2 linked regions of the Arabidopsis thaliana genome follow. The protein of the gene in region 1 interacts with the protein of each later gene in a pairwise test. Each region holds a gene or a part of one and is shown in the gene's direction. Other genes may lie near its edges. The genes, in order: KRP6 and CYCD1;1.

Region 1 (4,212 bases):
AGTACAGAATTCTCAAGAATCAAGATTCATGTAATTTCGTTATGGTCATGTATGTGTAAGATATATTGTAGGGATTCTTAGGGTTTAATCCGGTCTTTTGTTTCATGGAAGATCTATTAAATAAATATTAGTGTATTATCTCGTTAGAATATCATTTTTTTTCTTTCTAATAACCTGTATTTTATCGGATTTGAATTCGGATCGTGAAACGATATTTAATAAAACATACTTGGTTACGAGTACTAGTTATAATCACTTTTTTTCTTTTTATATCTAAGTATTGCAATCAAAATTTTCTTGGCAGTCAAAATTATTTTAATCTTGACATAGAGTTTTCTACATAGTAAAAAATTATCTTAACATACAAATTAATAGTAGGAAGTGACATAGAAACTATCTTAACATACAAAATCAACTTATCTTTACATTTTTCTAACTAGCTAATCAACAATGTAACAAAAAAATATTTGATTATTGATTGATAGTGTTATTATATATTCATACAAATGAGAAAAGATTTGAAATGATAGGCGAAATTTTTATTGAAAAGTTCTATCAATTTTTTTAAAAGTTTAGGACGACCCTATTCAGGACTATATATGATCATATGGATTACAATGGTCACTGAATAAATTATTTTGAATTATATCATTCCCTCTTGATTTGTCTTAATAATTCCTAAATAAATGCCTAGGTCAGCGAATTCGTTGTTGCATCAGTCACTTAATTATTACTCGATGATTCCTTTTATTACTAAAATTTATTGAAAATGGTCCCATTTATTGGAAGAATAAAGAAGTAGTTACACTAAAATTTAATTATAGTATATGCTTAAATTTGTAAACCGTTCTGGCCATTTTGTATATATATATACATATATGGGCTCTTTAAGACGAGAATTGAGTTTAGTTGTTTACAATTGGTTTTAACTGTACGGACAGTTTAGTTGAGCTTTAATGGCTCATTCTCTATGGTGCTATATTATGGTTTTAACACATGTACATTATTTCATAATACATATGTCATTAAAATGACATAGAGGACAAAATCTGTTGTTGATGTGTATCTGATCAGTGGAAGAAACTTACACATGCATGGAAACTTTCAAAAAGACAACTAAGCATAAACAAGAGATTAATTAGACTTAAGCTGAGTTAGTCTCTATATGACATAATTGATGTTTCTACTAAGCAAACCCCAAACTGTTATTCCCTTTCCAGATTCAAGCATTATTTGATTCGTCATTGATTTCATGGTCTTGGTGATGATACGAACCAAAAAGTTGTATAATTGGTTTATAAGATGTAGGTTCTTACAAAATTGACTATGTAACAAAATTATAGTATTGTTTTAAACGTAAATTAACGAGGCGCTTCTAGACATGTTCCGACAAACATATATAATAGTACAGATGATTTTATAGAATGTAGTTAATCGATGTATCTTCTGCTATAGGTATCTCTAATTTATTGTTCCGACCACCACAATTCTTTTCTAAGTATTTTATAAATTGGTTAACCATGTATCTTCTGTTGTGTAATTATAGCTAGTATCTTCATTTGAAATATTGTAAGGAATAGTTTGTCTAATTGCTTATGATATTTGACCATCTAAGTAAGTTTATGAACTAATTGTTTTTCAAAAAAGGTTGATTAACCTTAATTACGTGATAGTTTTAACATTAAAAGATTTCAACACTATGTTCTGGATGTTAACATATCCATCTCAAAACCATGATAAAACGCGTACAATGGAAGGGATCAAGCTAATTTGACAAATCTCTATTCACACCTCAACCATTCATATATATACCCTCGATATATGTCACATCATTGGTTTTAGCTTTTAATTGATTCTCATAAAATATAAAACCCAATTACGAGAAAAGACTTGTTCGATGGTTCTCATAGACCCTGACCAAATAAGACTTGTTCCTAAACAAATCGAATTAAATAGAGTTGTGGTTTACTCATACTTTAAATCGTTTTAAGAAAAAATAATGACTACTGTTACGTTGCTACTACGTCATAACTACCGAAAATGATTGCGTTTTCAATTGCTTTGAAAGGAAGCCAAAAAGGCAAAAACGGCAAAAAGGGAGAGAAAACGCGTTTGGGAATCTCAACGGCGTTTGTGTAAGAAAATAAAAGCGAAACTCCGTAACGGCGCCGTTATATACCATAACCTCCGTCCGCTCACCAAGGAAAATAAAATCTCAACCGTTGAAATAATCAACGGCTCATGATTCATTCTCTCTCCTTCCCCACCAAAATCTCCTCTGCTTTGTTAAGAAGCGAACCAGAAATAGAAAGAAAAAAAAGCAGAGAGAGAGAGCACACAAAAATCCAAGAGAGAAAAAAATGAGCGAGAGAAAGCGAGAGCTTGCAGAAGAAGCTTCAAGCACAAGCTTCTCACCACTGAAGAAAACGAAGCTTAATGATTCTTCTGATTCATCACCGGACTCTCATGACGTCATCGTCTTCGCGGTTTCATCTTCTTCCGTTGCTTCGTCGGCGGCTTTAGCGTCTGATGAATGTTCCGTTACCATCGGTGGAGAAGAAAGTGATCAGTCCTCGAGTATCAGCTCCGGTTGTTTCACCAGTGAATCGAAAGAAATCGCGAAGAACAGTTCGTCGTTTGGTGTAGATCTGGAGGTGAATTTTCAAAATCAAATAACTCCTCTCTACTTGAATCGATTTAATCAGACGATTTTCTCAGTTTTCGTTTTGATTTTTTATTTCCGTTTCTGTGTTTCAGGATCATCAAATCGAAACCGAAACCGAAACCTCAACATTCATCACCAGCAATTTCAGGTTCATAATCTTTTTGTTTCCCCCCCCCCCCAAATTAGACGTTCAATCGATTTTATTCTCCTTGGCGATTTTTTCTCTGTTTTTTATGGCAGAAAAGAGACGAGTCCAGTGAGTGAGGGTTTGGGAGAAACGACAACAGAAATGGAATCATCATCGGCAACGAAGAGAAAACAACCGGGGGTGAGGAAGACTCCAACGGCGGCGGAGATTGAGGATTTGTTCTCGGAGCTAGAGAGTCAAGACGATAAGAAGAAGCAATTCATAGAAAAGTGAGTCCATTTTTACAATTTCATCATCTCTCTCACGTGTGTTCTTGTTGTTGTTGTGTGCGCTTTGCTTTTTGGGGTTTGGGAAAAATTGGAGTGAGTCCGTACCTAGAGAGAGAGAGAGAGGAATGTGAGTAAAAATGTCTGCGTGCGCATGATAAAAAGATTAACCGACGCGTAGTTTAGCAAATATCCTAAAAAGAGAGAGAATCAGAATCCTAACGAACACACACACTTTGGCACAGGTACAACTTCGATATTGTCAATGACGAACCGCTTGAAGGTCGCTACAAGTGGGATCGACTTTAAGCCATCAAAAAGCAAATACCATCCATGAAGAAGACAAAAGAAAAATAGGTTTTGTTTTTCGTGGTTAACATTTCCACTTGTACAGCTCTAGTCTATTTCTCTTTAAAAACCTATGTTACTAGTTCGTACAAAACAAAACAAAAAACACGACCTTTATAATGAAATTTCGGATCTTGGCTACTAATTACGGTGATTTCGTTGGTTTGTTATGTTTCTGTTTTAAAATCAAAAATGGTTTTGGCAGAGTTTTAAGTGCATGAATATAGAAAGGTGCTTCTTGTTTGGATTCTTTTAAAACATTGGATGCTTAATTATTACAATTATTTTATCTTACTCAAAACTATTATTTTTTGTTTGTCTCATGTCATTCTTATTCTTACACTTGCAGTTTATGTTATATTTAAATGTTTCATGTCATATAGTACCCAATTTACAAAAATATCTGAAACCAAAAATTGATGTTTTAAAAAAAAAATTGGAGAAAAGAGGAAAGGTACATGACATGACGGCACAGTAATACAGTTGGTTTGTACTTCTCTAAAAACTGCGATCATACAAAATACAAATATTATATTTTTTCTATTTTTTTCACTAATATTCTTTTATTTTATTTTGGAATATTCCTCTATTTTGGCACTAAACACAGGGTCCACTTAGTTAAAACCATTTTGGCCTTCATTAGATAAAACCAAAAAGCGGCCTATGCGGAGTAGTAATTTATCCTAATGAAGTGTGTTACTGTAACAAAATATCATCAATGAGTGATACTATATAAAAACGATTACATAGGATATATTTACGTGGATTAGCTTTTTGGTAACGCA
Region 2 (5,862 bases), on another chromosome or scaffold:
AACGAGTAGTATCAATTAATGTGACGATGATAGTATAAGATCATGTCTAGTGATATCATACGTACCATATAATTAGATCTGAAATAACCATTCAACAACGATCATTGACTATAAGGCAATAGCTCCCATGAATCGTCTTGATTTTCTTTAAGAAAATAAGACATTAACAAAAATGACGAACCCTACCACGAGAATGTAGTCAGTCTGATAAATTGTTGTAGGTTGGGAGGTGCATATTTTCCCTCCTTTCAAATTTCAGTTTCTTGACTTCATTAATGTTAATATAAATAAACATATACTGCATGATAAAAATGTTAATTTAACTGTAAATGTGAATGCAAATCTGAATGTAAGCCATATGTTTTAAATATTGTCTACCTAAACAGAGAAATGAATTAGTAGCCCAACCTAGCCATAACAAATAAATAATGAAGAAGGTCTTCTTCCGCCGAAGATACCAAAAATATATTATCTTCTATTTCAAAAAGTATCCCATTTGTTTCTAATTTCTATGGTACAATGTAGTTGTTGAATTGTAATTTTCTCAATGTTAATTTCGTTATCTACGTAAGCATTGTCAACTATTTACATAGTACATACAAGTGATAGTTATATATTAGCTCTTCCATAATTTTTAATTCTTATCAATATGAAAATATTGACAAATTTATACAAATCTGCATAGAAAACACATACAAAACAAATATGAAACAATGTTAAAAAAAAAAAAAAATATGAAACATTTTTTCTAATACACCTGAAAACTAAAATAAGGGGTAAATATATTAGAGGTAAGCGAAAAATCTACTACAATCTAAACCGAGATCATCCCAATGGTATAATTAAAGTCTAAAATCTAAATCGAAGGAGCAAAGTATTTTGTAAGGCACACGTGAAAGAAAGTAACTACGGGAGTGATTAATAAAAACGGGCCAATGATTTAACACTTTTATGGCATAATTAAACCAAGAAGGGACCAAATAAATATGACATATTGATACAAAAAGGAATGTGAAGAAAATCTCCGGTTCTACGAAAAGGACTTCCACTACTCTTTCCCACACGCTCCAGACCACTGTTTGCTTTCCTCTGATTAACCAATCTCAATTAAACTACTAATTTATAATTCAAGATAATTAGATAACCAATCTTAAAATTTGGAATCTTCTTCCCTCACTTGATATTACAAAAAAAAAACTGATTTATCATACGGTTAATTCAAGAAAACAGCAAAAAAATTGCACTATAATGCAAAACATCAATTAATTACATTCGATTAAAAAATCATCATTGAATCTAAAATGGCCTCAAATCTATTGAGCATTTGTCATGTGCCTAAAATGGTTCAGGAGTTTTACATCTAATCACATAAAAAGCAAACAATAACCAAAAAAATTGCATTTTAGCAAATCAAATACTTATATATATACGTATGATTAAGCGTCATGACTTTAAAACCTCTGTAAAATTTTGATTTATTTTTCGATGCTTTTATTTTTTAACCAATAGTAATAAAGTCCAAATCTTAAATACGAAAAAATGTTTCTTTCTAAGCGACCAACAAAATGGTCCAAATCACAGAAAATGTTCCATAATCCAGGCCCATTAAGCTAATCACCAAGTAATACATTACACGTCACCAATTAATACATTACACGTACGGCCTTCTCTCTTCACGAGTAATATGCAAACAAACGTACATTAGCTGTAATGTACTCACTCATGCAACGTCTTAACCTGCCACGTATTACGTAATTACACCACTCCTTGTTCCTAACCTACGCATTTCACTTTAGCGCATGTTAGTCAAAAAACACAAACATAAACTACAAATAAAAAAACTCAAAACAAAACCCAATGAACGAACGGACCAGCCCCGTCTCGATTGATGGAACAGTGACAACAGTCCCGTTTTCTCGGGCATAACGGAAACGGTAACCGTCTCTCTGTTTCATTTGCAACAACACCATTTTTATAAATAAAAACACATTTAAATAAAAAATTATTAAAACCTCAAAAAATCTCTGTTTCTTGTTTATATATCCAAACAAATGAATGTGTTAAACCTTCACTCTTCTCTCCACACAAAATTCAAAAACCTCACATTTCACTTCTCTCTTCTCGCTTCTTCTAGATCTCACCGGTTTATCTAGCTCCGGTTTGATTCATCTCCGGTTATGGGGAGAGAATGAGGAGTTACCGTTTTAGTGATTATCTACACATGTCTGTTTCATTCTCTAACGATATGGATTTGTTTTGTGGAGAAGACTCCGGTGTGTTTTCCGGTGAGTCAACGGTTGATTTCTCGTCTTCCGAGGTTGATTCATGGCCTGGTGATTCTATCGCTTGTTTTATCGAAGACGAGCGTCACTTCGTTCCTGGACATGATTATCTCTCTAGATTTCAAACTCGATCTCTCGATGCTTCCGCTAGAGAAGATTCCGTCGCATGGATTCTCAAGGCGAGCCTATTCACTTTTTTTCTCTACCTCTCATTTTTTTCAATGCTAAAATACGCCGCCGGAGAGTGTGTAGACGCTAAAATACGCTGATCGAATCGTTACATGCAGAGAATCTTTTTTTTTACAGTAGTGTGGTATTGTTTGGTTTACAGGTACAAGCGTATTATAACTTTCAGCCTTTAACGGCGTACCTCGCCGTTAACTATATGGATCGGTTTCTTTACGCTCGTCGATTACCGGTAAATGTTTTAAAAACGTCAACGTTAGTTAATTCTATTGTCTCTGTTTTTTTATTATATTGATATGACAAATAACAACCCCAAAAAGTCAGTTTTATTTCCCTTTTTTTTTTTCAATGGATCGATTTGTTTATTGACTTTTCTTCAGAAAAAAATGAAAACGACTAAAAATTTATTAGAGCAAAAAATTATAATCGGTATAGAATAATTTAGTAGAAATTAATCTTATATTGGAATGTACGTAAACGATAGAACAGGAGCGGGCTGGGGAACTTTTTTTCGTTTTTTAATTATTTTATTGAAATTTATATTTTCGATAAAAAATTACATTGACGTTTACATAATAATAGTATACTTTTGCAGTAAACTTTCCACTTCATATATCGGCTTTATTGAAAACTTTGTAATCATAGTGTTAAAACGCTCCTACTACTATATAATATTTTAAATTAATTTTGTAATTAAACTTAATAGAGTATATAGTAATCAATGATTATATTAATCAGCTTTAATTTCTGTAAAATAGGAAACGAGTGGTTGGCCAATGCAACTTTTAGCAGTGGCATGCTTGTCTTTAGCTGCAAAGATGGAGGAAATTCTCGTTCCTTCTCTTTTTGATTTTCAGGTAAACATATATTATCATTCTTTCTTTAACATTCTGAATTTACTCTGTTTTTTTAAGAAACTTTAATTTATGTATCTCTGTATAATGTAATGTAGGTTGCAGGAGTGAAGTATTTATTTGAAGCAAAAACTATAAAAAGAATGGAACTTCTTGTTCTAAGTGTGTTAGATTGGAGACTAAGATCGGTTACACCGTTTGATTTCATTAGCTTCTTTGCTTACAAGATCGATCCTTCGGGTACCTTTCTCGGGTTCTTTATCTCCCATGCTACAGAGATTATACTCTCCAACATAAAAGGTACGTAATATTTGTATGATATATGATCCATAATGTCATTTAGGTAGCACATTTTTGGGTTGGTTCTAACACATGACCAATTAGTACAGAAGCGAGCTTTCTTGAGTACTGGCCATCGAGTATAGCTGCAGCCGCGATTCTCTGTGTAGCGAACGAGTTACCTTCTCTATCCTCTGTTGTCAATCCCCACGAGAGCCCTGAGACTTGGTGTGACGGATTGAGCAAAGTAGGATTTGTTATATCACGTTTAGATGGAACAAGGGAGTAACAGATTGCTAATTAATGTCTTTTGGTTATATTTGACTTTCAGGAGAAGATAGTGAGATGCTATAGACTGATGAAAGCGATGGCCATCGAGAATAACCGGTTAAATACACCAAAAGTGATAGCAAAGCTTCGAGTGAGTGTAAGGGCATCATCGACGTTAACAAGGCCAAGTGATGAATCCTCTTTCTCATCCTCTTCTCCTTGTAAAAGGAGAAAATTAAGTGGCTATTCATGGGTAGGTGATGAAACATCTACCTCTAATTAAAATTTGGGGAGTGAAAGTAGAGGACCAAGGAAACAAAACCTAGAAGAAAAAAAACCCTCTTCTGTTTAAGTAGAGTATATTTTTTAACAAGTACATAGTAATAAGGGAGTGATGAAGAAAAGTAAAAGTGTTTATTGGCTGAGTTAAAGTAATTAAGAGTTTTCCAACCAAGGGGAAGGAATAAGAGTTTTGGTTACAATTTCTTTTATGGAAAGGGTAAAAATTGGGTTTTGGGGTTGGTTGGTTGGTTGGGAGAGACGAAGCTCATCATTAATGGCTTTGCAGATTCCCAAGAAAGCAAAATGAGTAAGTGAGTGTAACACACACGTGTTAGAGAAAAGATATGATCATGTGAGTGTGTGTGTGTGAGAGAGAGAGAGAAGAGTATTTGCATTAGAGTCCTCATCACACAGGTACTGATGGATAAGACAGGGGAGCGTTTGCAAAAGATTTGTGAGTGGAGATTTTTCTGAGCTCTTTGTCTTAATGGATCGCAGCAGTTCATGGGACCCTTCCTCAGCTTCATCATCAAACAAAAAAAAAATCAAGTTGCGAAGTATATATAATTTGTTTTTTTGTTTGGATTTTTAAGATTTTTGATTCCTTGTGTGTGACTTCACGTGACGGAGGCGTGTGTCTCACGTGTTTGTTTTCTCTTCAAATCTTTTATTTTGGCGGGAAATTTTGTGTTTTTGATTTCTACGTATTCGTGGACTCCAAATGAGTTTTGTCACGGTGCGTTTTAGTAGCGTTTGCATGCGTGTAAGGTGTCACGTATGTGTATATATATGATTTTTTTTTGGTTTCTTGAAAGGTTGAATTTTATAAATAAAACGTTTCTATTATATGAAGGAAAAAGTACATTGAACTCAATAATGGTCGTGGAGAAGGTTAATAGCTACGTGAGAGGATAATATGAGTAGTGGTGAGATTTGATTTTGGTGTGGCCTGTGGGAGCACGAAGCATGTGAACATGTGTGTTGTGGATCGAGTGTATGTTTTATTGAACGACGAACGTAAAAAGACAAAAGAAAATTGTATTTGTTTAAGACCAAAAGAAAAAAAAAAGTATTTAATGTTCAAAATGTAATAACCTTCCTCATTTTTGCCATAATTAAACACATTTCTTTGTTTTTGTTTTTTTGGGCAAAAGATTAAGGGTTTTATATACCTATTTTAACAACAGTAAATATACAAAAGAAAATCAAATTATGAAAAAAACAAATTACAAAAGAAGTAAAAAATAGTGGTTAATTTCTCTCTTGATTTTAGTAAAGAGGAACAATTAATAGGAGCAGTAGCATACATGTGATGTTGATCTGTCTCCATGTCAGAGAAAGTGGTCTCACCACGAAACCATAACGTAGCTACACCGTTCTATCTCTCTCGAACCCCTCAAACATTAGCCACACAAAAATACCATCTTTGACTATCCATTTATATATGTATGCACACGATTTTACAAGTAAAAAAGGAAATAAGAAGTGAAAGAAAAAGAAAAAAACTTACTGCAAAACAAAACATTTTACAAAAGTGTGTTTTAATCTTATAACTAAGTTGGTTTGTGCCGACAGAAGTGCACCCCACGTCGAGAAAATGTCTCCATCCTCATAATTCTAGTTGATTAGTTTAGTAATGTGATTTATTTATTTTCCATCGACGACATTATTTGTTCACCCTCCAATGAACTAATCACTCGTCTCATAGT

What was found.
Region 2: the proteins of KRP6 (region 1) and CYCD1;1 interact in a two-hybrid assay, tested with the Arabidopsis thaliana proteins (2 studies listed by BioGRID, with this or other methods).

The regions. Positions count from the first base shown.
Region 1 is NC_003074.8:6,615,804-6,620,015, reverse strand, and holds KRP6 (KIP-related protein 6), read left to right. Parts: upstream 1-2,064; 5' UTR 2,065-2,360; coding exon 2,361-2,654; intron 2,655-2,757; coding exon 2,758-2,813; coding exon of another isoform or gene 2,814-2,905; coding exon 2,906-3,082; coding exon of another isoform or gene 3,083-3,086; exon of another isoform or gene 3,087-3,324; coding exon 3,325-3,388; 3' UTR 3,389-3,686; downstream 3,687-4,212. UniProt on the Arabidopsis thaliana protein: Binds and inhibits CYCD2-1/CDKA-1 complex kinase activity. Regulates cell division which is crucial for plant growth, development and morphogenesis. May inhibit CDK kinases specifically involved in the G1/S phase transition.
Region 2 is NC_003070.9:26,437,827-26,443,688, forward strand, and holds CYCD1;1 (CYCLIN D1;1), read left to right. Parts: upstream 1-1,729; 5' UTR 1,730-1,826; coding exon of another isoform or gene 1,827-1,970; 5' UTR 1,971-2,188; coding exon 2,189-2,461; intron 2,462-2,613; coding exon 2,614-2,700; intron 2,701-3,226; coding exon 3,227-3,325; intron 3,326-3,420; coding exon 3,421-3,622; intron 3,623-3,711; coding exon 3,712-3,848; intron 3,849-3,932; coding exon 3,933-4,154; 3' UTR 4,155-5,181; downstream 5,182-5,862. Other genes in the region: AT1G70209 (uncharacterized protein), read right to left, coding at 1,827-1,970. UniProt on the Arabidopsis thaliana protein: May activate cell cycle in the root apical meristem (RAM) and promote embryonic root (radicle) protrusion.